Notamacropus eugenii: one gene and its partners. The protein of the gene in region 2 binds, or shares a complex with, the protein of the main gene of each other region. Links are inferred from orthologs where the notes say so. Each region holds a gene or a part of one and is shown on either strand. Other genes may lie near its edges.

What was found.
Region 1: DNAAF10 (region 2) and PFDN6 share a complex: the UniProt entries of both Homo sapiens proteins name them as parts of the PAQosome complex. The link is inferred for Notamacropus eugenii from reciprocal best matches to the Homo sapiens genes DNAAF10 and PFDN6.
Region 3: DNAAF10 (region 2) and UXT share a complex: the UniProt entries of both Homo sapiens proteins name them as parts of the PAQosome complex. The link is inferred for Notamacropus eugenii from reciprocal best matches to the Homo sapiens genes DNAAF10 and UXT.
Region 4: DNAAF10 (region 2) and PFDN2 share a complex: the UniProt entries of both Homo sapiens proteins name them as parts of the PAQosome complex. The link is inferred for Notamacropus eugenii from reciprocal best matches to the Homo sapiens genes DNAAF10 and PFDN2.

Annotation. Positions count from the first base shown.
Region 1 is NC_092873.1:89,315,072-89,321,275, forward strand, and holds PFDN6 (prefoldin subunit 6), read left to right. Parts: upstream 1-4,123; 5' UTR 4,124-4,396; coding exon 4,397-4,460; intron 4,461-4,929; coding exon 4,930-5,000; intron 5,001-5,085; coding exon 5,086-5,210; intron 5,211-5,486; coding exon 5,487-5,616; 3' UTR 5,617-5,698; downstream 5,699-6,204. Other genes in the region: WDR46 (WD repeat-containing protein 46), read right to left, coding at 149-284, 462-612, 740-844, 1,182-1,243, 1,431-1,518, 1,708-1,820, 2,035-2,118, 2,545-2,814 and 1 more. UniProt on the Homo sapiens protein: Binds specifically to cytosolic chaperonin (c-CPN) and transfers target proteins to it. Binds to nascent polypeptide chain and promotes folding in an environment in which there are many competing pathways for nonnative proteins.
Region 2 is NC_092872.1:635,459,012-635,465,943, forward strand, and holds the start of DNAAF10 (dynein axonemal assembly factor 10), read left to right. Parts: upstream 1-3,926; 5' UTR 3,927-4,274; coding exon 4,275-4,457; intron 4,458-6,932. Other genes in the region: RNA-binding protein PNO1, read right to left, coding at 2,436-2,585, 3,600-3,806. UniProt on the Homo sapiens protein: Key assembly factor specifically required for the stability of axonemal dynein heavy chains in cytoplasm.
Region 3 is NC_092879.1:101,807,861-101,815,011, forward strand, and holds UXT (protein UXT), read right to left. Parts: upstream 2,493-7,151; 5' UTR 2,374-2,492; coding exon 2,276-2,373; intron 2,198-2,275; coding exon 2,116-2,197; intron 2,032-2,115; coding exon 1,964-2,031; intron 1,631-1,963; coding exon 1,523-1,630; intron 828-1,522; coding exon 764-827; intron 675-763; coding exon 621-674; 3' UTR 520-620; downstream 1-519. UniProt on the Homo sapiens protein: Involved in gene transcription regulation. Acts in concert with the corepressor URI1 to regulate androgen receptor AR-mediated transcription. Together with URI1, associates with chromatin to the NKX3-1 promoter region.
Region 4 is NC_092873.1:267,547,251-267,555,120, forward strand, and holds the start of PFDN2 (prefoldin subunit 2), read right to left. Parts: upstream 2,979-7,870; 5' UTR 2,883-2,978; coding exon 2,790-2,882; intron 185-2,789; coding exon 96-184; intron 1-95. Other genes in the region: NIT1 (deaminated glutathione amidase), read left to right, coding at 2,979-3,139, 3,517-3,627, 3,944-4,195, 4,294-4,397, 4,719-4,852, 4,992-5,117, 5,270-5,578; DEDD (death effector domain-containing protein), read right to left, coding at 6,859-7,235, 7,788-7,870. UniProt on the Homo sapiens protein: Binds specifically to cytosolic chaperonin (c-CPN) and transfers target proteins to it. Binds to nascent polypeptide chain and promotes folding in an environment in which there are many competing pathways for nonnative proteins.

The DNA of each region.
Region 1 (6,204 bases), on a different chromosome or scaffold from region 2:
AAAACAAGAAGGTTGAGCTAAATAATTTCTAAGGAGTGTTTCCAGCTTTGACCACTAGGTCTATGGAATGGATAGGGAAAAAAGCAAGGGAGGTCAGAGGGTCCTAGGACATAAAGCAGCAATGGGTCAGGACGTAACATTTACTAACCATTGCTATGGCCAAGATGGATGACTGCATTGTGGGGATTCTGGGTCATCACATCCAGACGTCCAGCCCGAGCTGCCAGAGAGGCTACAATCTTGCCGACAGACACATCCAAGTAGGTAAGGAACCCTGTCTCTGACTGGACGGTGGAGAAAATGAGACAGAGAGTTACAACCAAGGCCTCTTCCCACCCTCATCACCCTGACACCAATCCACACCCTTTACCAGACTTTCTGCCAAACATCTCCTGCTCCACAGTTGGAGAGGTCATTTCCCAAGGTTAATCAATTTCTCCTAGTTCCTGAGCATGACTCACAGCTGTGACCAACAGGAAGTGGAAGGGCAGGAACTCAAGTCTTGTGATACGATCACACCTTCGGACACAGTGGAGCTCTATCCCTTGATTATCATAGACATGAAGCCAGCGTTTCTGAGCAACTGCAAACAATGTCTCAGAGTGCAGGAAACTGGAGTCAAGAATCACAGAACAAACCATAAAATGACCTCAAGATGAGTCAGGTACTCAACCTCCCTGAGACCCTCATAAGGTCAGTGAGCCTCACCCACTCAATGATGGCCCTGGATCCCACTGACCGTATGTCCCTCACAGCTTCCATGACGTTGATTTCACACATTAATTTCTTTGTTATCCAGTCAAATGTGGCCACATGACCTCTCCGGCCACCCAGGGCAAGGTGTCTGGTGGAAGAGAAAAACAGATATCCTAGTGTTAGGAACCCTTAGTACCTAGAGCTCTGCTTTGCGCTCCCCCCCCACCCCCCAAAAAAGGAGGACACAGATATTTGGTCAAAAGAATATATGCATACAGTTATTGATACCTTAAATCTCTCTCCCCCACCCAGAAAAAGACAGTGAGTGAAGGCAGCAGAGTGTTACTGACAAAGAGACCTCACTGCCCTTGGATGAGAAAATCAATCAATCAATATTTATTAAGCACCTACTATGTGCCAAGCATTGTGCTGGAAAAGAACATTGTGAGAAAGGTTCACTATGCAAACTGGAGAAAGTCCCTCACCTTCCAGTCCGTGAGTAATTGATCCTGTAGGGTCCAAACTGGTACAAGTTCAGGTCAAAATGCTACATTATGAAGGAAAGGGAAAGGGAATAAGCACGTATATAGCACCTACCATGTGCCAAGCACTGTGCTAAGTACAGAGACATGCAGGAGGTCAGCCAAGCCTGGAAATCCTCCCACCCACTCATCATGATATAGCTGTCTTCTCCACATCATCATCATCAGTTCCTTCCCAGCCTTCAACCTCACCTTAGCCGCACTTGCAATGTCCACAGCCTCTACAATGTCAGCCTGGCGGATTGTAGCTGTGTCTTCCCCTGCCTCTCCCTCAAGGAATCTGTGAAGAATGAGGGCTCATTGAAAAGTTCACTAGGACAGAGTTCAGCAGAACTGAGAATGCTGGGTATGAGAAGGGGATGGAGAGGGAGATAGGGGACAACCACAACACAGGTTAGATCCCAGGGGCTGTGGTTACTGACCTCTGAAAGTGGAACAAGAAGATGCCAAGCAAGAATAGCTCACTTACCCAGGCTCCTCAGACAGCAATAATTCGGCCCGGGCTGCACGGACACTTGTTTCCTCTTCTTCATCAGCAGCTGCCTTGAGTTTGTGCTCAGTCACCAACTTAAGGGGATGCTTCTGAGAGAATGATGAATCAAAGGTCATAGGTTACAAATCAGAGGACTGAGAACCCTAACTCTTCCTTCTCAATAACTGGTGAATCAACAATGAAGAATGGGAAAATAAAAGGTCACAGGTGAGTGATGAAAGACTGTCAACTTCAGGTCTTCTTTCTCAATCACTGGATGGACATTAAGACCCTCTGCTGCTCCTCCCCAATTTGCCTTCTTACCTTCACCAATTTAGAACTGCCTCTTCGGAACTTATTTATAGCAGCCTCTGAGAGTGGGGCTGGCCCTGGGAATGGATCCTGAGCCTAGAGGTGATAAGATGAAGTTTTGCATCAGAGATGGTATCCCTTCCTCCTCCCTCATGCTTTTACTGTTACAATGCCTCACATTTACAGAGTACTTTGAAACCCAAGATCTACTTTTCTGGGTGAACCGCTATTTAAGTGTAAATTTAGGCTAATGAGGCATTCTAATGGTCCCACCACTTCATTCTTTCCTCCAAATTCCTTCCCATTCCTCTCCAGACCTTTTGTTTACTCTCACTTTGACCTGCTACCTTAATTCTACAGAGAGATCCTGCTCTTTCCCCTCCATCCACAAAATCCATATCAAAACACCTCAGAAAGTGACAGGGGCATGAGAGGAAGACTGGTTGAGGGCTGACGAGATCCTCTTAGTTTTACCTACTGACCCAAGGATCAAGGCTCCCTGTTTCCCAACCTGAATCTTACCCCAGATAAGGTCTGACTTGGTCTCAGCTCTTGTTTATTGTTTGGCCTCAGATGCTTCTGGTTCTGCTTCGACCTCAGATGCTTCTGGTTCTGCTTGGATCTCAGATGCTTCTGGTTCTGCTTTGACCTCTTAGGTACCCTGACACCCCTGGACTGGGACCAGTCTTCCCTATTCCTCTTGGTCCCCCTGGCAGGGGCAGGGGCAGTGAAAGGGTCGGATGGGAGGGAATTGGCTCCATCAGTTTCCCCTTCCCAGTAGCGTCGAGGTTTCTGGAAAAAACGAGGTAGGGATGAGCAGGGGACAGCAAGATTTTTGCAGGCCAGACTCTTTCTCACCCCACACCCAAACTATGTCAAGTAAAGACATGACGCCTGGGCATTGAAGACTGAAAAGTGCTAAAACTTTGAATAAATTGTAAAACCTGTCTCATTTTACTTACTTGTCATACAATTTGTTGTATGTCTTACACACTTCACTTACCAAAAAATGTGAACTACTGATATCTACACAGATTTAGCCCCCCCCAAAAAAAGCCACTTAAATACTATACCAAAAAATGAATTCTAGTGTTACTTGAGATTAGGCTACCTTCCCTTTATAATGCAAGCAGTAGAAACTTTAATTCCATTTGCAATAACACAAATTTGTGAATATGGCTTCTAAAACGCTTGTAACCATCAAGACAAAAAACCAAAATCCACACGGATATCCAAAATGACAAGCCTGTTGTCTTGTGAAAGACAACCCAATAATTTAACTTCTTAGTCAAGTTCAGCAATAACAGCCTTCACACTGATATATCTTTAAAAAACAAAATTTCACTTCAACTTGCTTATATTTTAAAAGTATTGTATTAGTATTCATCGCGCTAATAAAGAAGCCCATCTACTACTAGACCATCAATTTGATTTTTAATATTTTGCCGGATGTCATGAATTTTGCTCTATGCCATTAAAATACTTTTCTAAATAACAGCAGACTGCAAAGCAGCCCACGACATCAACAAAATTAAGAATTATGGATTTAGACTAATAACATGAGTGCTGCCACTCACAACCAAGAAGAAATGGGATGGCCCACCGGCTCGGGTCGTCCTTGGTCCCTCCCGCTTGCCCCGCCGGGACAAGGGGCAGAGGCACACCATACCTGTTTCTTGCCCTGGGCCTTGACCCGGGCCCCGCTGCCCGACTTTGGAGCCTCTTCCATGCGCCTCGGTCCCAAAACTCCTCCAAAACCCACGTGCAAAGGCCACTCCACGGTCCCACCATCAACTGAAGGAAGACACCGGAAGTCGTAGTTGGAGTGGGCGGAGCCCGAAGACTAGCCACCAATCCAAGACAGCTGTCTTCCGGAAGCCACGTTGGGTAAAGTTGTATCCTCTGGCGGAGATGTCGGACACCGGCGCGGCGATCATGACGTGTCGGTAATAGATGAGAAATGAAGGATGAAAGTGGAGAGCCAGGGAGGACTTCAAGAATCGACAACAGCGTTGCCTTGTATTTTCTTGAGGCTCATGTTCCGCCGCCGAATCCGTTCGAGGAGCCGATCTTTCCGGCGGCCTGGTCTGGATGTTAGGACTACATTTCCCGGCGTACCCTGTGCCTACGTTGTCCTTTTTCCGCCCGTCATTTGCCATGTGCCTCTTGTTTTCCCAGCATCCCCTATCTACCTCCGGGTTCCGGAGCTGTGCTAGGGGAAAGTGCAGGACCGCTGTGTGTGGCTCAGGATCTTTCTTCGGGTCAGGAGGGTTAGGAGCGCGTGTAGCGGCCGAGGCGGGCCTCCAGGCTGCCGGTTGTGGAGTGACACTCTCCCACGCCTCCTTCCTGAGATTCCCGGGCCCTTCTCCAAGCCATGGCGGAGGTGATTCAGAAAAAGCTCCAGGGGGAATTGGAGAAGTACCAGCAGCTCCAAAAGGGTGAGTGAGGAGGGGCTCGGAGCTGCCTCGGCACACGCCCACCCAGACCCGGTGCTTCTCTGCTAGCCATTCAGGGAAGCCTCCCACGGGACCCCTATGTGCCACCCAGCCTGGGTCCAAATTCCCTCCTTCTGAAGGGAGTATTACAAAAAGATTCTTAAGTGCTGGCTGTTGTGTCATCTCCCCTCTCCAGGCCTTGTTTTCCTCATCTGTAAAATGGGCATTGTCATTCCTGCCCTCCATTCGCAGGCCGTGGTGGTGCAGAGAGGGAGGAAATAAGTGCTTTGTGTATAAATTTTGATCTGTTGTTTAAAATGGCTTCATCATTAGTGTTTGTGACTTCATCCACGCCAGACCCTACCCACGACACGACTCTCTTTGATTTATTGGGACTGAGGGTGTTTCAGGTTATCAGATTTTCATTCAGTTTTTCTTTATTTTTTTCTTTTCCCATTTCTTCCCACCCCAGACTTGAGTAAATCTATGTCTAGTCGACAGAAACTGGAGGCACAACTGACAGAAAATAACATCGTAAAAGAGGTGAGGGACCAGGTTTGGAGGTGTCCAGGAGCCATGAGGCACTTCCAGGCATTTTGTGTCTCCAACTGTTTCTCTCCATCCCCAGGAGTTAGCATTATTGGATGGATCCAATGTGGTGTTTAAGCTTCTGGGCCCAGTGTTGGTCAAACAGGAACTGGGGGAGGCCCGAGCTACTGTGGGCAAGCGACTGGACTATATCACAGCAGAGATGTAAGTATTATCCTCCCTTCCTGCCCCACCACCACATTTGACTGTATCTTATGTTAATGTGATGTTGTTTTCGTTTCATTGTCACATATACTTCAACTTTTCTTCTTTTTTTGTCTCCCTTTTAATTCCATCTGTTCCCCAGTAGTAAGTCATGTTGACCCCTCAATAGCTCACTAATGTACCGCTGTACAATTGTCTTAAGCCCTTTTTTCCCCCGACAAACTTGTGAAGCAGCTAGCATGATTATCTTTTTGTGTTTTTCCTATTTCTCTTTAGTAAACGATATGAATCTCAGCTCCGAGATCTGGAGAAGCAATCTGAAAAACAACGTGAAGCTCTGGCTCAGTTGCAGCAGGAGTTCCAGCGTGCCCAGGCTGCCAAGGCAGGGTCTATGGGAAAGGTTTGACCTCCTTGGTTGGGGAGAGAATAAAGTAGGGAAAGACTGTGGGTTACCTGCACTGTGGCAAATAAAATGTGAAAATACCTGACCCCTGCCTTGTTTTCTAACCACCCAGTTACATTACTTTGATCTGTTCTCTTGCCTCCCTTCCTTCTCCCTCCCCAATTCTCATACTAACCATAGTTCCACCTTGGTTCTGTCCATTCAACCTCATTTCTTTCCTAGTGGGTGGGGCTGCTGAGTCTGGTTAGAAGCTTAAGTTGTACTTTCACCCATACCCTCAACTCTTCATTCTTTTACTCTAGCTAGTATAATCAAATATTACATTCATACAGAAGCTTGAAGCCCCTACATGGGAAGAAAAGAGGTATTTATATCCTAGCCCAAAGATGAAAGGCAGATACATTTTTTGACCAAAACACAAGAAGTTTTTATGTTATTCGACGGTCAGCAGTCATGATGACGAAGCTATCATTGTATTCCACGCTATTAACCCCAAAAGATTAGTGACGTACTTAGCCTCGCCACACACGACTTTTGTAAGACTGGGATTTTGGAATAGACCACAGATGTCATGAGAGTTGGTACATATCC
Region 2 (6,932 bases):
ATTTGCATCATGGGTACAAATAGGGAGGAAGCAATGGTCAGGTAAAAGGTTAGAAAAACATTAAGTATACCAACCAACATGAGTGGACAGTGTTTTAAGGTTAGAAAAGTGATTACCAAAAGACTTAAAAGGCAGAGTGAGTTTTGGCTCTCCACTGACTATAAAGAAAATTCAGCAAAGGTTTTTGAGTTAAATCATCAAAAAGAATCTTAGAGAATATTTAATGAAATGTCCTAACACACACCACATCCCTGAGGTCATCATTCAGCTTTTGCTCAGGAGTTTAGTATATTAATAAGACAATGTTGATAAATAATAACACTCTAGTTTTGAACATCTCTACTTGTGAAAAAAGTTCGCCCTTAGAAAGTGTTGAATCTGATGATTTAAGCTTCTGAAACCCACTGACCTTCCTCCTGACTTCTACAGTCATAATCTCTCTTCCAGATGAATATGTGAAAGGCTATCATGTTACATAATTCCACCTCATCTTTTTTTTTTTTTTTTGAGTCAGTCAACGAACATGTGTTAAGTACTATGTTGCCAGGCACTATACTAAACCCTGGGAATAAAAAGAAAGGTAAGAGACAACACCTGCTCTCAAAGAGCTCACAATGAGGGAGATTACGCATAAATAACTGGACACCCAGTTTGAGAGTCTGAAAGGCAGTTAAAATTTTGAGACTGAAAGTCAGCAGTAGTTAGGGCTAGATAAATAGATCATAAGCAATAAGTTAATTGGATTCACAGAAACTGATGAAATCACCATCATAATAGCCCTTCACATCATGAAATAGTAAAGAGGAAGGGGAGAAGAGTAACTGGGACAGTGTTGTGGGACACCCACAGTTAGTAGGCACAAACTGGATAATGACCCAGTCAAGAAGACTGAGAAGCAGCTGTCAGAAGAGATAATCAACAATGTCAGTGGCTGCAAAGAGGTCAAGAAGGATGAGAATTGAGGAAAAAAACATTAGATTTGATAACTAAGAGACGTTAGTAACTTTGAAGAGAGCATTTGAGGTTGAATAAGATCAGAAGATAGACAGATGAATAAATAAAATAAAGAGAGAAGACAGAGTTAAGAAGTGAGAGAAAAGGAAGTGGAGGCTTTATTGTTGATGACCTTCTCAAGGAGTTTAGCCACAAGAGGCAGGATAAACCTCCCATTCTTTTCAAGGATTTCTCATATGCTGTTTTTCAAATTCCCTCACTATCTTTGAATGACCACACTAAAAACAGTGTAATTCTAGTAAGATTAATTTGGTGGCAAAGAGAGCCCAGAGGAATCTGAGATAAGGAAACCAGTCAGGAGGCTATTAAAACAATCTCAAAATAAGGGGGGGAACACCTAGCAGTGAAAATGGAAAGGAAAAAACTTGTTTCATTTTGTATATTTAAAAGTATATTTTCTGTAAGTATAAAAGTATGTTTCTATATTTCAAAGTCAGAAGTGCTTCACTGGAGGTAATCCTTGGTTCTTGAGGGATATGCCAGCACAAGCTCTGGCCAAGTTAAAGAAAGTTTTGATTACAGGTAAATTACAAATGTTGTGAATGGACCAAACTAGTTAAGTATGGAAAAGCAGATCATGAATAAGTTGACCACTAGTTGGTGAAATCTTTGGACATGATAAAAAACAAGAACAAAAACAGACCTAATTTTCTGTAGCTCCCTTCAAAAGGTCCAGAGAGAGCCCTGTGGGATATCCAAAGGGTGTGGAATAAGGATGGAAAAGGAAAGATAGAGGGGGTCCTAATAATCATAGTTTTTAGAACATTTAATTAGATGCTACTGAAAGAACTAAACCATAATAGCACTAAAACTATTGCTTTAATACAGGCCTGTACAACATGTGGCCTGTGGGCTGCTTGTAGCATGTCAAAGGATTTCAGGTAGCCCACAAAAAATGTAGAGGAAAACATCCTTTATACGCAAAGGAAATCCTTTGGCATATGCAGCCCACAGGTTGTGCAGGCCTGCTTTAATAAAACCACAAGAGGCAAAAGAAATTGCTGCTAAATGGAAGGATGAAGAAAACAAAGATCCATTGTGCAAATCTAAAGCAATGCGAAGGCTCAAGAGCACCACTACCACCACCAAAAAAAACCCCAAACAAACCAAGAAACACAACATATTTTTAAAGGATGAAGGGAAATTCTACAAAAAACATGACAAAGTCCTTCAAATTACATCTTTAAAATACCTCCTATTGATAGCATAAGGCCTTTTAGATTACAGAATATTACAATCTCCAAAGAACCACAGTAAAATGGAGAGATGTAAGATGAACATAAATAGGATAAAACTTTATTGACTATTTTTTAAAAAGGTTATTAAACAGAATAATAACAATAAGGAAAAGGGGTGATCATGCTTCAAACTGTGTAAGAGAAAGAAATATTTGTTTGGAAAAAAGTTGGTGTTCTCCTTACCCTGATTTCTATATTCCTTGACTTTAAGTTAAATCGTATTTGAAGACCCAGATGTTCTACAACAGGTGTAAATATTTTCATCCAGTTCTCTTTTAATGGAGTGTATCTGTTGGCAGGCACTGGAATTTTCCTCATTTCACCTTTGCCACCCTAAAATAAAGATGCACAATTACGAAATAAGAGAAAGTTGATCCCCTTATCTCTTTCATGGAACAAAAACTAAACATCACATTTTTATGCAGTAAATAAATAAAACCACTAAAGCCTATTCCTGACTCCAGGGGTCATGGAAGTTGTATTGGGTTCCTGAATGTTTCAACTACCAAAGTTCTCTGCAGCTTCTACCACCACCAGGCTTGTGCCTGGGTTCCAAAAATACACTGTCATCCGAGGACCATTATGCATGTGCAAGTCACTAAACTAGGTGGTGGAAAAAAGAGGTTTTTAAGTGACATAGTCCCTACCTTCCAGCAGTTTACAGCATGACAGATAAATGTAATACAAAGTGAAATCAGGGAGAAAAGTCAATACGCCGCCACCCCTCTATTGATGCAGGTCAACCCTTTCTGTACAACTTACAGCCTCAGAGAGTGACCTAGATCACTAAGAGGTTAAGTGGCAAGCCCAGTGCCACCCGTTCAGAGCAGAGACTTGAACTCAAGTTTTCCAGATTACAGAGACCAGCTCTATCCATTGTGCAGTGTTGCCTCCAGGCTCCCCCATCCCAGAGAGCATCCCCCGCCGCCCACATTTCTCTGTCCAGCAACTCTGAGAGGGCAACCAGTTAATGCCACAGATTACTGCCTCTTTCCTTCTCGTTCATTCCCCTGCAAATCTATCTAATTGTATTACAACGGACTGAAAATAATTCAGGTCACTACACAAAAAAATAAAACAAAGGGCAACAAACTCCACAGATACTTCATCTCGGAAGGTGTTGCAACTTCTCTGCGGACAGCTAAAGAAACAGCCACGAAACTTCACTCAGGCTTCCCCTCATCTCGGTCAGTACTCGGATCCACCGGGGACCCCGGCGCTTCAGAGCTCTGAGCCAGGGATTCTCCTCCTTCGTGTCGCGGGCCCCTCTCTCAGACTAAAGGACACCAACTGCCTCGTCTCCCCAGCCCGACCTCCGTCCCCCGCCCCGCCCCCTCCAGACCGTACCGAGAAAGCGTCCCCAGACAACGGAGGAAAAACCGGCTTCTTGTGCGGCCGGGGCCCCTCGCTATCCATCTGGCCACCGCCGTCGCGGCCCTCCGGCTGCTGCTCCTCCGCTCGCCGCTTTCTGCCCCGTTTGCCGGTCGTGCGAGAAATCTTGGTGAAACCGTCCCCGTCCTCCGCCGCGCTCTGCGTTTCCATCGCCGCTTCCATGACTCCCCACAGGGAACGGCTACTGCAGAGGTTTCCGGTTCTCGCACGTGCAATGGGACAAGGCGCAGGCGCGCGTCGAAGACCCAACACGTCCCTTACGTCACTGGATAGCTCCACCTCCTTTTGGCCCTTAGCAGGCTGGCTGACGTTGTGCCTAAGTCTTTCCATCTCTTCAGCAGCCGAAGTTTTGATGTGAGCCGCGCGGAATCTCTTTATCCGGAGTGCAAGGAAGTCATGGAAAGAATAAGAGAGGAAACTTTCGGTCTGAAGCTGCGGACTGTCGCAATAACTATCAGGCATTGATAAGGACAACTAAATGAACTTTCTCTGTGGGGGGCAGTGAGAGGAATGCGGAGTACGGCAAGCGGGAGGGCCAAACGGTTTCTTGTGTGGACAGTGCGTAGCGAAGACTCGTTGCCCAGTTGGCTACGACGCGGTTAACAGCGGGGCACCTGGACCCGTCCTGCCATGACGGCTTTCGAGAAGCCTCAGATCATCGCGCACATCCAGAAGAGCCTCAACTACACGGTGTTTGACTGCAAGTGGGTGCCCTGCAGTGCCAAATTCGTGACTCTGGGCAACTATGCCCGGGGCACCGGCGTCATCCAGATCTACGAAATCCAGCACGGGGACGTGACGCTGCTGCGGGAGGTGGGTGCCGCCGGCCGGGCCTCCCCCCGCCCTCGGCGCTGCCCCCCGGCCCCGACTGACCCCGTCCCCCGTTGTGGGTCTCCCGAACTTCCAAGAGGGACGGCCGCTCAGTCAATAAATATCGGTTAAGCCGTGCGGGTCCTCGGGCTGAGTGCAGGGGACACAAAACGAAGCGAACCGTTAAAGTCTATTGCGGGGAGAAGGCGTGCCGAGCGTGTAAACAAAGCCAGAACTAAGGGTCGGGGAAGGCTGCCTGTGGAAGGTGGGATTGTGGTTGTGATGTAAAGGAAGCCGGAGAAGTGGGGGAGGGGGGGGGCGATTCCAGGCGTGGAGGACAGCCAGAGAAAACGCCCCCTAACGAGATGGAGAGTCTGCTTTGGGGAACAGCCAGGGGGAGTCGAAGAGTTCACGTTAAGGAGGAAGACTTAAGAAGACTGGAAAGGTGGGAGAAGGGCAGGTTGGGAAAGGCTTTGAATGCCAAACAGTAGATTTTATGTTTGCTCCAGGAGGCAATAGGAAACCACTGGAGTGAATATTGAGTAGAGAAGTGATGTGATCGCACCTGCATTTTAGGAAACACGTTTTAGTGGCTTGGGGGCAGCGAGGTGGTGCAGTGGATAGAGCACCAGTGGAGGAGTCAGGAGGGCCTGAGTTCAAATCTCACCTCAGACCCTTGACACTCACTAGCTGAGTGACTTTGGGCAAGTCACTTAACCCCAACTGCCTCATCCTGGGTCATCTCCGGTCATCCTGATGAATATCTGGTCACTGGAATCAGATGGCTCTGGAAGAGAAGTGAGGCTGGTGACCTACACAGCCTTCCCTCACTCAAAACAAAGTCAAGTGCAAGTCATGTCATCATTTCTCTGATGGCATGGTCTTCTTTTTAGTGGCTTAGGATGAATTTGGGGAGAGATTTGAGGCAGACTCAACAACAGGCGATTGCAGTAATTCAGATATGAAGTGTTGAGAGTCCGCACTAGACTGGTGCCCGTGTCAGGAGAAAAGGGGGGGTGTATTGGAGAGATGTTGCAAAGGTGAAGTGGACAGGGCTTGGCCACAGCTCAGATATGGGAGGGGAGCTGGTAGTGCAGGGTGACTCCTAGGTGGGATTGGGAGGATGGTATTGCCCACTGCAGTACTAGGAGGCAGGGAAGGGGGGAAATGAGGTAGAGGTAGGAAATAATGCGTTCAGTTTTGAACATGTTGAGTTTAAGAGGTCTAATACATCTAGTTGGAAATGTTTGAAAGGCAGTTGGAAAAGCTAGATTGGAGGTCAGCAGAGAGGTTAGGGCAAGTTCAGTAGATTTGAGAGTCTACTGGGATGGGTAGGAGGACAAACTGGAGAGATTGGAGCCTTAAAAAGCTAGAGAAAAGAGGGTAACCATCAGATTCAAAGGTTGCAGAGAGATTGAGAAGAATAAGAAAGAGAATTAAGGAAAAAACCATTGAATTTAGCATTTAAGGCAGGAGGGCAGAAGAGATCAAGGACCAATAATGAAAGAGAATGGAAGGATCCAGTGAGGGTTTTTTGGTTTGTGTTTTTTTAGGAAAGAGTCACAGGTATGTTTATAAGTAATAGGGAAGAAGCCAGTGAAAAGGAGAGATTGAAAATAAGTGATAGAGTAGGGATGACAGAGGAAGCAATCAGTTAGAGAAGACATCTAGGCAATATGAAATGAGAAAGAGGGTTAAAGAAGGAGCAAACGGTCTCAATTTTTCTGTAACATATGAGGCAAGGTTCTCAGCTAATAGAGTGAGGGGACAGGGAACTATGAAAGGCATGAGGAGGGATAAAAAGGTTTGGAAGAGTCACTGTGGAGAATGAGATAGTGAGTTGTTGAGGATTGCCTGGCAGCAGTGCGGGCCTAGTTGAGGTTATGTAACATAAATATACAGTGGATCCAGTCAGAACTGTTATATGATTTTCTCCACCCTCATTCTCTTCACATGTGTAGGAGTGAAGATGGTAGAGGGTGGGAGTAATCTAAGGCTGAGGCTTGGCAGGGCATAATTAACAATATGATAAAGGAGCTAAGGACTCAGAAGGGCATTATTGGGTTGAACTGATTCACCGAAGGGTCAGGATGGGGAAAAGAGGATAGAGAGTGACTAGTGTAAGGAGATAGCCTGGGAAAAGATTGAGCAGTCAAAAGACTGGAGATCAAGATGCGGAAAAAATAGGACTGGCTAAGGGAAGGCAGGAGAAGAAATGGAAAGCCAATAGATTATCATCAAATAAGTGGGTTTCTAAATTCTTGAACACTGAAGGGGTGCATTTGTGAGTGATAAAATCAAGAGTGTATGGCTCTGTATGGTTGAAGTAGGGAGTTGGAGTGGGTCATGGAAAGTGAGTAGATTGAGAAACCAACAGGCTAGGGTATTTGAGGAAGAATTAATATGTATGTTGACATCCTCTAATATGAGGGCAGGAGTTGGGGAAGAAAGCTAAGTTGTGAGCCTTGTACTGAATTC
Region 3 (7,151 bases), on a different chromosome or scaffold from region 2:
ATCCCGGCCCCTGTCCACTCTGTAGCCTCTTATCCAGGACCGGCCTGGTTTACACCACCTCCCTCCCTCCCCCTACGACCGACCGAAGCCTGCCCCGGCCCAGAGCAGCCCGGAGCCGGCCCAGAGCACCACCGGGATAGAAGAACCGGGGTCTGGCTGACGTTATCGATCACGTGGTAAGGGAAGGCCGAAGGGGCGGGACCCGTGAGTCAGAGCAACCAAGCCGCCACCAAAGGGCGGGACCAACTAGAGTGGCAAATCTAAAGCCACTAAGGAGACAGATTGTGCGCCTGCGCAGAAAAAGGCCCAGCGCAGCTAGATGAATTTCTTCAGTCTGCGCCCACCGAGGTGGGAGGGGGGGGGGGGGGAAGGAGGCGGAGGAAAGGGGCCAGCTCGAACACAACCATAAGAACAAACAGGAAGAGAACAGAGACCGTGGCTCTGCGACTGCAGAGAAGATAATGGTAGGGAGGAAGGCTGCCCCATCTCCATGGCAACAAACATTCTCCCCTCCCCAGCCTCATTCCCAGCTTTTATTAAAGGGATTTCTGATTTCAAGTAACAAGAGTTGGAGCCTCAGTAGCAGTCTTCTTAGGGAAAGGAAATTCTCAGCATCCTAATCAGTGTCCTGGATGATCTGGCAGCTCTTGTAGCCCCTGCAGCTCCCGAAGGCCCTTCGAGGGAAGAGAGTACATAGGATCGGAAGTTAGGTTCTAAAATAAGCTTTCCACTGACACACCTTCCACCCTCCTGCCCTTCTTACCTCCAGCACCAATCGGATGTGGGCTTTGATCCGAGCTGAATCTCGGGTGAGGTTGTCACTTAGCCTGGAAAAAGATAGCTAGACTTAAGGAGGGAATAGCATGCTCGCTCAATTTGGTATGAAAATCTATCTTACACGACAGTAGGGGAGAAGGAGATAAGGGGGGCGGGGAATGATAGAAGGGAGGGCAAATGGGAAGAGGGAATAATTAGAAGTAAACACTTTCCGGAAGGGACAAAGTCAAGAGAGAATAGAAGAAATGGGGGGCAGGATAGGATGGAGGGAAACATAGTCTTACACAATATGACTATTATGGAAGTCATATACCCTATACTGAATTGCTTGCCTTCTCAGTGGGGATGGGTGGAGAGGGAGGAAGGGAGAGAAGCTGGAACTCAAAGTTTTAAGAACAAATATTGACAATCCATTTTTGCATGTAACTGGCAAATAAATACAGGTAATGGGGTACAGAAATCTATCTTGCCCTACAAGAAAAGAGAGAAGATGGAGATAAGGGAAGAGAGGGGTGTAATAGAAGGGAGGGCAGATTTGGGGAAGGGGTAATCAGAATGCACGGTGTTTTGGGGTGGGGGAGGGGAGAGATGGGGAGAAAATTTGGAACTTAAAATTTTGTGGAAATGAATGTTGAAAACTAAAAATAAATAAGCCGTTAAAAAAAAATAAAGATGGCCAGAGCTCGTCAGAGACCCTTTCCCTTTCCCCCTCACTCCTGTTCCCCTCAAACCCTGGAAAACCTACGAGGTGAGCAGGCGGCTTTTCCGATCAATGAACCTCAAGGCCTCCATCAATGTCAGCTCCAGGAAGAAGCCGTGGCCGAGGGCCACAAATATCCGGGAAGGGTCTGGCCTGGAAGACAGAGGCATTTCTCAAGGGGCTCTCTATGAACCTCGTGGCCCCTCTGGGGCTTCTCTGCATTTGGGATGGTCTCTGAGTTCTGGGATTAGGAGGTGGGGTGTTCCTTATGGAGTAAGGGGTTTTTAAGCCAGAGTCTGTGAACTTCAAAAAAACAAACAATAAAAAACCCTGGCTACCTGAAATGGAATGGAACTGATCTCCTTGGAGTCCATATATTCTATTTCATGCACTTAACAACTATGCTGGGGGCAGGGGCCCATAGGCTTCCTTCCACACTGCTCCAGGGTCGATCTAGGGTGATCCACTGATGAGGGGGGGACTCACACTTCGGCATTCACGAAGAAGTTACACCCCAAATCCACCTGTGTGTGCAGCCTCTGATCCCCCGATTCCTGCGGGAGGGGGGGTGCTTAGAGGGCGGGCCAGGCCGTCCCAGGGCCCAAGGGAGGGGCTCCCGGGCGCCCCGCCCCGCTCACCTGGAGCCGCTCCAGGACGTTCTTCAGCTGCAGGTAAGCGGCCAGCTGTCCGTACACTTCCTCCCGCTGCGCCAGGACCTGTCTGGGGTGGGGGGCAGAAGGGGTGTCTAGGCCCCGCCCGCTGCCGCCCCCCGCAGGCCCCACGCCCCCTCGCATTTACCTTAGGTCTCGCTGCAGGACGTCGCTGACGAAGGTTTCATACTGCAGGACCTTTGCCTGGACCCCCCGCGGTGCCGTCGCCATGCTGGCCACCCGCATCCTCCCACCCCCTTAGCCCAGGCCCCTCGCCACTCAATCCAGTTCAGCCAGCCGCGCCAGCAAAGACCCGCTTCTGACTTCCGGGGGTGAGCCGCAAGGGGAATGCATCACTTCCTGGCGGTTCTGCGTCACTTCCTGCCGCGTACTCCCCGCCCCTTGGGTCACGTGTTTGGTTGCGTGGCCTTGCACTCCCAGGTGGGTGGGAGCTGCCAGGCTGAAGCATGCGCAGAAGACCTGAAGAAGCAGCTGTTTCTGCTGGCCCCCGAGATCCGGGAGACTCGTCTCGTGACCTTCCGGTTTCGAGACTTTGCGCGGCTTTGGCCCCGCCCTTGAAATTCTCTGGCCCGCGGGCTGTCAGTAAGACAGCAAGCATTCAGGAAGCGCTTACTCTGTGCCAGGCATAAAAAAGCATCTTGGCTTCCCTCTCTGCCTTGCGGCCTGCCCTAGGCCTTCCCCCCTCAGATTGCCTGCCATTGACTACACTTTGTACTGACCTATTTGGTAAGACTGGGACCTCCTTAGGACCAGGAAGCCACCTTGAGGGTGACCTTGGGGACCCAGACTCCGGCACTGCTTGCTCTCCGCCTACACACACACCCACCCCATACAACAATTCTGGCATTAAAAAATACTGACATCTTTGAGGCTGGTTAATACCACCAACATTTCTTCTACTATCTACTCCCAGAGAGCCAACCCATACAGAAAATAATGTTTGCTAAAGAGGGAAAATCAGCAAATCTGATCAGTGTAGAAAAAAGTCTAAAACAAAAAAAAAATCTCTACCCTGTACCATTCACAATTCCACAGATAACACATATAGATCTTTCTTTTTTTACTTATGTTTATAACATATTTGTATGTGTGTATATATACCCAGAGAGCATACAAAGCAGTTTTGGATTAGATCAGATAGGGCAGTCGGCAGAAGTCACTTTTAGTATGAAAAATGTTGACCTGAAAACTTGGTTTAAAAAAAGAAGGCAACAGGCTAAATGCATACATTTTATGATTTAATTAATTAATTAATCAATTCCCTATTAAAGACAATGGCACCATAATGCATTATGGAGCCAGAAATGTTCTGGCTACCAATACAAAGAATTGGGCGGCCTTAAATATGTTTTAGGACAAAGAAGTGTTCTGTGTCCTTCAGATTTATGATCTCCATAAGTGACTAACAAGACCATTAGAAAGAAATTTCTTAATTGCATAGGCTGTAAATACAATAAGATAACAGAGTTTGACAAAGTTTCACATAGAAATTATGACCCAAGATGTCTATATTTTCTTTACCACTAATATGCCATAACAAACATAGTATATGTCTATAGATAATAAGATCTAGTGTCTTAGGTTAAAGGTCTCCTAAGGAGTGTAGAGTCAGCCTTGGCTGGCTTTTGCTGACATAGGAAGAAGCATTCTCTGAGTTTGTTTCAGAGAGAACAAAGAGATTATTCCAAAATTTTACATTAAACATTATCAAAATTAAAAGAATGCTTAATGTATTAGCATGTGTTTGTACATGGTTGCCAAAGAAGACCATGCCATCAAAGAAATAACATGACTTCCACTTGACTTTGCTCTGAGTGAGGGAGGGCTGTGCAGGTCACCATCCTCACTGCTCCTCCAGAGTCATCTGAATCCAGTGACCAGATATTCATCAGGATGACTGGAGATGACCCAGGATGAGGAAATGGGGGTTAAGTGACTTGCCCAAGGTCACAAAGCTAGTGAGTGTCAAGTGTCTGAGGTGAGATTTGAACTCAGGTCCTCCTGACTCCTGCACTGATGCTCTAGCCACTGCACCACCTAGCTGCCCCAACATATTAGGATAGCTATTTACATCAGACCAAAGCAAACAGTATCTTCTTTATCAGTCACTTAATGAACATTTGTTAAGCTCCTACAAGCTTTATTAGATTGGAGAAGGAGACGAGTTCTTAGAAATATTCAAATGAATTCTCTTTTGTAATCATAAAGTGGTTGGGGGAAGGGAATTACTGAAAAAGACATTCAGTGTCTCACAGAAAAAGAAAGAAACATACCAGCAAATACAGCACAAACTAGTCAGTTAGTTGGATGCCACCTGTGCTTGTTCTTTACAGAGAATTTTCATTTTTGATTGTTCTATGACTCCTTCTACTTACATTGTTGCAGCTCACTTTCCTCGGCATCAGTTCATGGAGATCTTTCCACACTTCTCTATTTTCATCACTTTTATCATTTCTTACAACAGAGTAACACTCCATGCCAATTCATGGACCACCATAAATGTAGTTATTCTCTAATGGATGAGCATCCACTTTGTTTTCTTATGGGAATAGCCAGTGGTTCCTTGACCTGCTGCCAGTCTTGCTTTTCAACAAGCAGAGAACTAGGAGATAAAATCAAGGTTTATTTTATATGCTTCAGCATAGGTCCAGAACTCAAAAATCTCTCTCAATCAGGAACAAAGTGTAGATTTAAAAGTTTAGATTTCCTAAAGTTTACACAGTTTCTAATCTCATCAGAGACACAAAGAAAAGAATACAATTTTGCATTACAGTGGCTACAAAGAGAAAGGAATCACTGATAAGAGAAAGAAAAGATTTACATGACAAAGATTATGCTGACGTGATTTGTATTTCAAAGATAACTGAAGAAGACAATCACATTAGAGCTAGTTCATCAAAAAATCACTAATGAGGGAAAAATCTGGGATTGGGGTAGCATGAATTCTTTTATTCCCATATTTTTTTTTTATGTAGATCAAAATAATTGGGAGTCTTATGAAAATCTCAGCCAGCTACATGACTTTCCTTCTAATTAAAGTGGCTTAAATAATACTGGAGAGAAAGGAATAAAAAATTCTTACAACTCCTTATGGTCATAGAAGGAAATGAAATGTCTCTCTGTAACCATATTCTCATACATTCTGTCAATCTCCTTTCTAGATGTCTCAGCATCAGTGTTATGGCAAACATTTCCACAGGCAGATAAAATATTGGACAACACTGAATACAACAGCAAAACAAAACCAATACACGAACAAATATGGGCATCATATCATAATTTCCTTAATCCAGCTTTTTCCTGACAACCAACCCAAATAGCCATTTAAACAACATATTTCTTATTCTGTTATCATGGGTTTAACCGTCCCATAAAGTCATCTGATTCTGGGAAACATTTTCCCTAGGAAAGTCTGTGCTCATGTGGTTTGTCCTAGACCAGCATTTACAAAGTTCAGACATTCATTTCAAATATTCTGATTTCCTTAAGTAGGCTGTCAGTTTTTAACTAGCAGGAATAGATCTGCTTCCCAAGTTCCAAGTCACTTGCAGAGAGGTAGTGCTGCTCAAGTCTGCTTGTTTTGTGTCCTTCATTTTCTTTTTTTTTTATTATTATTTTTTAATGTTTAACAATCACTGCCATACAATTGAGATTTTATCCCCCCCACACCTACCCCCCACTACCCCCCTCCCTCCCCACGACTGCATACAATTCTGTATAGGTTCTACATATACTTTCCTATTGAGTATATTTTCACTATAGTCATGCTATGTAGTCAGACTAAAATAAATGAAAGAAATCATATAACAAATCAAAACATGATACACAAACACATACACATACACAAACATGATCTGCTACATTTTGTGAATGACTTCCATATTTCTTTTTCTGAGTGTGGAAGGCATTTTGCCTTGAGTGTCCTTCATTTTCAAACAGTACCAGCGACATCATAGGGTAATGTCTTGACTAGTTCATGAACTGGATTAAAGTGAAGCAGAGCTGCACAAAGTTGTCAGCCTCACTCTTTCTTCCAGAGCCATCAAAGTCCAGTGACAGGACAAAAGTCAGGACAATTGGTGAAGGGCTAGGAACACAATGGATGACGTAGATGTCCCACCAAGCCCTAAGCGCTCAACAATGGCTGCTTGAGCCACCTTCATGGCTGTTAGAACAAACTCTTCTCATCAGCCTATTCTGCCAACAGAAGTCTTTACATGCTTGGGACAGACATTCCCCTAACTCACCAATGGGTTTTGAGGCCTGTAGGTTACCTTCAACCTGGTTTTACTGGGCTGTGGCTGCTGTATCTGCTATAACTTCTTGGAGCCACAAGTGAGAGTTGAATGCCAGGTGGATATCAAAGGTAGATAAGTAGTCCTGAAAAGGACTGGACAAGCGCTCACACCAGAGGTTAGTCCTCCCTGAACATTCACACACCCCTGGAAAATGTTGTCCATAAACTACAGGAGAAATTGGATTTTGCAACACAAGGCTCTTTTTGTCTCTTGATAATCAGAGAAACTTCAAACAGAAAAAAAATTAATCTTTCATTTAACAATAGCTCATAAAATAAGATGCAAAATGGGTTTAGAATTTTTTTTGAGGTTCAAGCTTTAATAAAAAAAATTAACTACCATATCTGTGAGAAACATACCTACTCGAAACAAAGAACAATATTTGTTGTGAAATCAGGAAAGCTTTTATTATTTTTTACGTTCTTTCCCTCCTAATGGACGGCTATACTTACTTCATACAAATGCACCGTTTATATGGCCAGCTTTCAATTTGAATTTCCCGCCTGCCCCCCATAGTTCAGCATTCCAGGGTTCACACATTCCTCATTTTCTTTATAGAATGACATGTTATAAATTCTTTTAAAGGAATTCCCTTAATTGATTAAGAGACCAAACCCAGGATGTTTTAGGCTCCTTCCCCATTTACATAAGAAAGTAATTAAATTCTTCAAGTTGTGGATTTTATCTATAGAGTAGTTTGTCCTA
Region 4 (7,870 bases), on a different chromosome or scaffold from region 2:
TAAGGTCAGAAGGAGAACGGTCTGAGGGTACAGCCCCAACAAAGTACAGACTTCCCCTCAACCTCAACTCTTCCTTATTCCCCCAGACCTCTCACCTGTGCTCATTCAACTCCATTTCCAGCTCAGCTGCTTTGGATGCCAGGCCTCTCTGTTCTTGCCGAAGGCGGTTGAAGCCAGCAACCACCTAGGGGAGAAGAGATGAAGTGAGGGAGAAAACTCTACGGAAGATAGCAAGAGCAGGCTCCTTAGGTGGTCACCTAAATGTTGAGAAAAGTACAAATTGGGTCCCAATTTGGCCCTGTTTATCCCTGTCTAAAGTAGTCTTCCCTCAAGGGATGATTTCTACCAAAGAAAATACAGGGCAATGGCCAGGACAAGTACTTATACTGGTACACGTTAGGAGAGCAAATACAGATGGACCCTCCACATATAGCTGTTCTCTGGGCTTTTGCTCTTTGTACCTACTATTTAGGGCTGAGACTATAAACTAGAAGAGAAAGAGTAGCCCAAATCCCGACCTAATCATTAATTCAGTGCCAAATCTATTCTTCCCTATAATCTTTCTGAACAAGACCTCCTTCCTTCTGTACTTTCACATCCAGAGAATGGAACAGTTACTACCTTAGCCGTACAGAATTCCTTACTTCTGGTGCCTCACTCACTATACAGTATATCAGTATTTGCTTCACCTCTATTTAAACTCCTCCAGTGGCTTCTGCTGCTCAATAAAATTACCTTGTACTTGGTCACTCTACTTCTGGTCTCTCAACATTCAAATTCATCCTTCACACAGCTGCCAATGAGATTTTCTAAAGTTCAGTTGTGACAACGTGGCACACTCCTACCCTCATTCAATAATGCCTCTTTTTAGCATTTAAAGCCCTTCATAATCTGGCCCCATCCTACCTTTCCAGCCTTACTGTACATTATTCCCCTCCATATACTCTTATAATCCAGCCAAACTGGCCTTCTTGGTGCTCATCACGTAACACTGTTCCCTTTCTCCATGCCTTTGCACTAGCTGTCTCCCATGCCTGGAAAACACTCTCTACTCACTCCCCACTTTTGGAATCCAAGTTTACTTGAAGGTTCAGCTCAATCATCATCTACTGCATAATGTCTTTCTTTATGCCCTTAATTCCTTGTACCTTACTTCCCCAAGGTTTCTTATATCAACATATATAAGTATATGCTGTCAACTTGTTAGAACAGAAATTTGAATTGTTTGACTTTTGTTGAATCTCTAGCTTCTGGCACAGTGTCTGACACATAGTAGATGCTTAACAAATAATGACTGATCAACTTGAACTCCAACAACATCCAAGCGACTCCTGTATGAATGCAAATGATGGAACCTACTTAGGAGGAGATTCACCTGAAAAGATAGAAGTTTCCTGAGCACACACTCAAAATGTATTACTTTGTGAAATAAAATCAATCCCTGAATCCCTGAGGTTAAAACAACTAAGGGGAATTAGATATTTAAAAAACAAAATTACTCTTGTTAACTGAAGGCCAGCGATGCTTCTAGGTTAGAGGTGAATTTTGAATCCAATGCCGCACCAAAGTGAATCCATTTAAATCTGTTAGAGAATTTTGCCATTTCTGTATAGAAAGATAAAACTTTTACCAGCTACCCAAAATCTTAGCTGCAAAGTTAAGAAGCAAAATAATCCAACACTAGCTCTCATGGGAATGCAAAATACTGCTCCCAGAAATCCTATCTACAAATTACTTATTGTTTTTTTTCCTTTTCCTGTCCAAATGTTTATGTATAATTCTCTATTTCTCTTTTCCTTATACCATACTGTTCTCATGTTTTCTGGCATGGCCAGAGATGACCAGATCCAAATGAGTATATACATGAAACATATATACATACAGGAGAAATGGAAGTTCTCCCAGAAGGAAGAGGGGAGGGAAGGCAGGGAAAAACTTCCAGCAAAAGGTGGAATTTGAACTGAGTCTTGGAAGCAGCCAGGAAAGTTAGAAAGTGGAGGTAATGAGGTGGAGCATTCTAAGTGAGGGGCAGAAGATAGACCAGCAAGAAGGCCCATGTCCCAGAATGCCAGACTACATGGAAAAGTTAGGAGGGGGGGCCAGGTTTCAAAAGACTTTAAAAGCCACAGACAACATATTAAATTTTATATTTGATATTATAGGAAGCCAATGGACTTTACTGAGCAGGGAATTTGACTGCCATGGTCATGCCAGTGTTTAAGAATATTCACTTGCAAGCTTTTTTAAAAAGGAAAAGAAGAAAGTGCAAGTCACATATTACACTGCGCCCGTGGTCAGGCACAGTACAATTTCGCGGTCCTCCAAGAACAGGGATCTTGGAACACAACCCTGCAGGGCTCAGGCGGTGGAAGTCGCTCCGGCTCGGCTCTCAGGTCAATCCTGCAGCCCCGCAGGAGGGGCGGGCCTGGAGCTCAGGCTAGCCAGGGCCGGGGCACCTCAAGGCACTTCCCCAGGCTGGTGGATTTCAGACCTCATACGGCTCTTTCACAGGGAGGGGTCTGCTCCCCCGCTCAGTCACAGAAAACTGGGGAGACTCCGGCGATCGGCGTCTTCCGGGCTCCTAGTCACGGATGGGGCCCCCAAGCTCCCGTCACGAGGGGCTCCCCCACCCTGAGCTCCCCGTCGTGTCCACACTCACCCCCCGTCTCCCCTCCGCACAGGGGGCCCCAGACGAGCCCGGGCTGCGGCAGGGGGCACCGCACGTGCCACGGGCCCCGCTCCGCGGCCCCCAACAGGAGCCGGGGCGGCGTACCGGCAGCTAAGCTCACCTGCTCCGCTGACACCGCCCCCTTGCCCGCGCCGCTGCTGCCGCTGCTGCCGCTACCACCGCTCTTGTTGGCCCGGTTGCCACTCTCCGCCATCTTCACCCGCCCGCTAGCTTGGGCCCTAGAAGCCCAGGGCTCGCCTCCCGGTGCGTCACATCCGGACGTCTCCGTCCCAGACTCCTCCGGATCCTGATGCTTCGAGAGCCATCTTGGTTAGGGGCACTTCCGTCGGGGGGGGGGGAGGGGAGGGCCCTGACATTTCCGGGTGCCCTATGGCCTCAAAGCTTCAAGACCTTTGGGCTCGAGGCGCGAGGAGGAGCTGCGGACACCAGTCTCCAGGGCTCCAGCTCCATGTAGGATCCTGGTCTGGGGCTTCCTCTGCTTGCACCAGGGCGTCCCTCCCCGGGAGGATGGGGGAGGAAGGAAAGGTGGAGCGGGGGCAGGGGCCGGGGGCCGGAGAGTGAGTGCACGCGTGGAACGCGGCGGGCATCGCTATCTTGCCCTCAGGGATTCCCGGCATCGGGAGGGAGAGACTTGTCCTACGTCAGTAAGTGACCTATGCCCTCCGAAGAGAGAGCGGAAGGCGAGCAGCGGGCCGTGCCCCCACCTGCCGGGGCTTGGCGGCCCGCGGCTAGGAGGCTACGAGAGGGGCGGGGCGGGAGGGCGGGACTGGTCACGTGCCTTGTGGGCAGCGAAGGGGCGAGAGGACCCCCGAACCTTTCTCTTCCAGGCTGAGCTCCACCCTCGGGCTGCCAAGAAAGTGCCCGTTCCTGCTGCGCTCTGCCTTCAGGCTGCCTGGCATCTCCCTCCTCAGTGACCAGGCGGGCACTGGGCGCAGCAGGTAAAGCCCACGGCCTCTCCTCGAGGTGGGAGCGGGCAAAGGGAAGACCCGCTATCTGCACATCTAGCTCTTCCTAGTTTACCAAGCACTTCATTTAACCCCCCGCCCGCGGAGGCCCAGGAAGGATGAGGGACTGCTTAAGGTTACGTAGGGGCACTGTCAGGACAAGAGCTGGAGCTAGTTGAGCCTTGTCTAATGTGTTTGCTGGTTTTCCTGGTGTGTCAGAGGCCAGAGATCATGTATGGAGAAGATGCCCGGTTCTCTTTTGAGCTCTCACTTTCTCCATTTGGGGACGCCTGGATCTTGCTCTTCACAGGCCTGGGACCATGGCCGGCTCCTCTCCTCGAGGTTTGCCCCTGGTAGCGGTGTGCCAGGTGACGTCCACGCCGGATAAGGAACAGACATTTGCAGCCTGTTCAGGATTGGTTCAGGAGGCTGCCAGGTTGGGTGCCTGCCTGGTCTTCCTGCCCGAGGCCTTCGACTTCATTGGTCGGGACTCAGCGGAGACACTTAGGCTGGCGGAGCCATTGGGTGGGGATCTTGTAAATCGGTATGCCCAACTTGCCAGGTATGAAAGGCAGCAAAGGAGCATTGTGGGTGAGTAGGCTCCGCTGACTGTGGTGGAGACGGGGTTCCGAGAAGGGTTGTTTGTTGCTTTCTCTACAGGGAATGTGGTATCTGGCTATCTCTGGGTGGTTTTCACGAACGTGGCCAACACTGGGAGCAGAGTCAGCGGATTTATAATTGTCACGTTCTCTTGGACAAGGAGGGTAAGACTTTGTCCCCAACTCCCTCTCAGTCCTCTCCTGCCCTTTTGAGTTGCATTCCTAGAATCCTGTTTTCAGCATCCAACCTCACTCCCTCCACCTTCCTTGCCCAGAGTGCTTGGAAACAATTTACCAAGCCTTCAAGGCCATTTACCAGTTAGATTTCCTCTGCTCCCTCTTGTTCCTCCTCCTCTTCCTCCCACACCCCCAAAACACATACACCTTGTGGACATAATGTTTGTGCCTCTGGTTCATAAGAAGTTCCCTCTCTGGGGTCTGGGGGATATAAAATCATCAGCAGAGTATTCCTCTTCTACTCCCAAGGCTCTATTGTGGCCACGTATAGGAAGACACACCTCTGTGATGTGAAGCTTCCAGGACAGGGACCCATGTGTGAGAGCACCTCTACTATACCAGGGCCCACTCTGGGGTCCCCTGTCAGTACACCAGCTGGCAAGGTTGGCAGGGAGGGAGGGGAGGAAGTTAAAGTGGGGAAAAGGAATGGGAATATGTAGAAGGGGGCAAAATGACAGTGGAATACTATATCAGAGTGGCCAGCACCAGATAAGCTAAGTATTCTACTTTCCTCCATCCCAGGTAGGTCTGGCAATCTGCTATGACCTACGTTTTCCAGAGCTTTCCCTTGCACTGGCCCAGGATGGTGCTGAAATTCTCACCTACCCTTCAGCCTTTGGCTCAGTTACGGGACCAGCCCATTGGGAGGTAAGGACCTACCAATATTTAGTACCTACGTATTCAACTGAACAGAAATGCTGTATTTCTTTCTTGACTCCCTCTGACTGTCTCTCAGGACTGAGTGGGGGAATCCTTGCTTCCAAAGGTCACTGCTCTAACTCCCTATTTCTCTCCTCCAGATGCTGAAGCTGATTTCATCCACTCTTGTTCCCCCCCACCAGGTGCTGCTCCGAGCTCGGGCCATTGAGACACAGTGCTATGTAGTTGCAGCAGCACAGTGGGGACAGCACCATGAAAAAAGAGGGAGTTATGGACACAGTATGGTGGTGGACCCCTGGGGCATCGTGATAGCACGCTGTTCTGAGGGGCAAGGCCTCTGCCTTGCCCACATTGACCTGGCCTATCTCCACCAGATACGCCAGCGTATGCCTGTGGCCCAGCACCGAAGACCTGACTTGTATGGTAATTTGGGTCGCCCAGACCCCTGACACCTGCTGACTGAACTGGGTCCTGTTCTGGGCCAGTGAGGATCTGTGGCTTGGAGGCAGGACCCCAGGCCGCTGATGAGCCTCTACTCCCTTTCCTTTACGGCATACAGGTTCAGCCTGTTGTAAAGCCCCAAAAAAATGCTTTTATGGGCTCAAACTTTAGTTACATATAGATGGGCTCTTAAATCACAATTATGAAAACTAAATCTACACCAAGGTCTAAGCACTAACAATGAAAAAAATACAGTCCTGAAGTCCAAGTCTCGACATCTCTTTTGAGGGTAAGGGGAACAATGTAGCATCAAACGTACTAGACAATAGTAACAAGTAGGGCCCGTTCATAACTCTTCAAAATGAATGCACAAATTAGTTTTTATCCCAGCCCGGTCCTAGGATTGAGAAGGAACTGTGGCAATTCAAGCACTGAAGCCCAGGAAGGGAAAGGCTATACTGAGACAGACAAAGCTCAAGGGGACATCCCAGCTCCGAGTCCACCCCAAGCCAAACGACAAATGAGATGGGAATGGGCTGCAGGATACGTTTATTTTCACTTGAACATGGAAGGAAAAATGCCACACGCCCCTTTCTCAGGGAGTGTGTGCTCCCAGCAACCCTTCTCCCCATCCTGCATACACACAGGCACTTGTGCACAGCGCACACAGACAAGGGGTTCTTGGGTGGCCCCAGGCCTCCCCTCTCACTGCTTCCTAGAAGAGGAGCAGACAGGGTAAATGAGGGACCCAGACTAGGAAGAGCCCCTAATCTCTGTCCCTGGGAGATGGGGGGAGAAGAAGGGAAGCACCAGGGCCAGGAGTGAACAAGTGAGGAGGCCATACCTTTACAAGTGTTATTCTCAGAAGGGCGGAGGGAATGTGCTGGTAAATTCCCATGATACAACCCTGGCTCTTACCTCTTCAGCAAGCTCCCACACCACAGCCCTTTGGTTTCTCAGACAAAACAAAACATAACTAGCCCTCATGAAGCTGGAGGGCAATTGAGAGAGCCTCCTATTGACCCCCCCCCAAACAACTTCAGCAGCGGTTCCACAGAGGGCTCTGACATCAGACTGCTGCTTCCTTCCTTGCCCAGGCTTGTGGCAGTCTGGGTGGAAGAGGGGGAGGGAGACACACCACTTCCACTTTTTTGTCTTTTCCTTTAAAAAAGAAGGGGAGGGGGAGCAAAGGTGACAGGAGGGGTGTGGAGAAAACCCCAAACAGTGTGTGAACTCCAGAGATGGGTGCCGAGCTGAGGACCCAGATTTGTGAAAGGTGAGAGGAGGGTCAGGGCAGTGCCTGCAACATCAAGTTCCTCAGGAGTTTCTGTCGGCCCAGCTCATAGTCCTCCTCATCCACATTCACCAGCAGCTTGATAGCCTCATGGCCCACAGCCTGTTTAAGTGAGTCTGTGATGAAGACACCTTTGAGCGCCTCCAGGAGGGAGCCGTTGATGTAGTCGCGCCAAAAGGCATCGAGGTAGGTGAGCTCAGAGAACTTGATGTCACAGATGATGGAACCCAGGTCCCGGGATTTGAGGATGGTATTGGCCTGGTTGAAACGCTCAAACTGGCGTTCAAGTGGGTCCTGCTTATTTGAGAAGACGTTGCCCTGCAGAGCTGTCTCATGCTGGCAGTATTCAGCCCTCACCCGAAGCCTGATGTCTACAGGAAAGAAAAGGTGAGTGCTTAGGCCATACCCTGTTAGAAAAGTGACAGGGGTGGCAGACCAAGGCACTACAGTAAGGTGGTAGTTACCCTTCTCCAGGGTAGAGTTCCGCTATGACTTCTCTATACTTGTCTCATCTTGGCATTTCCTTTACATACTCTGAATTTGTTTGAGCCCATGCTTGGGCCAAGAGGAAAAGGTCGTGAAGGGAAAGAGTTCTTAGTAATAGGGCACAGTAAAAACATATCGCCTCCAAATCAAACTTCATTTGGGGACATGGGGGTGAGCTTTTTCTATATTAAACAGACTTAGCCTCAATTGCATAAATTTAACTCCTTTTCTCCACCTTGGACAAGAAGAAAGTTAGCAGGGAGAGCCTCTTGAGAATCATTCCAAAAGGACAGCAGGACCACGTCAAGGCAAAGGGGCAGTACCTCAACCACTTTCATGTTCCCCTCTGTCAGGAAAAAAAGTAGTCTGCCTTTTGGAGAGTAATTCCACTCCCACTAGCTCCCTGCCTGGGCTGCACTAAGCAGAGCCTCCCTTACCGCATGTCTGTTTCTCCTTGGGGTCTGGTGTCACGGACTTCCGGCGCTTTCGTTGACTTACAAGTGTCGCTCTCCCTCGAGCT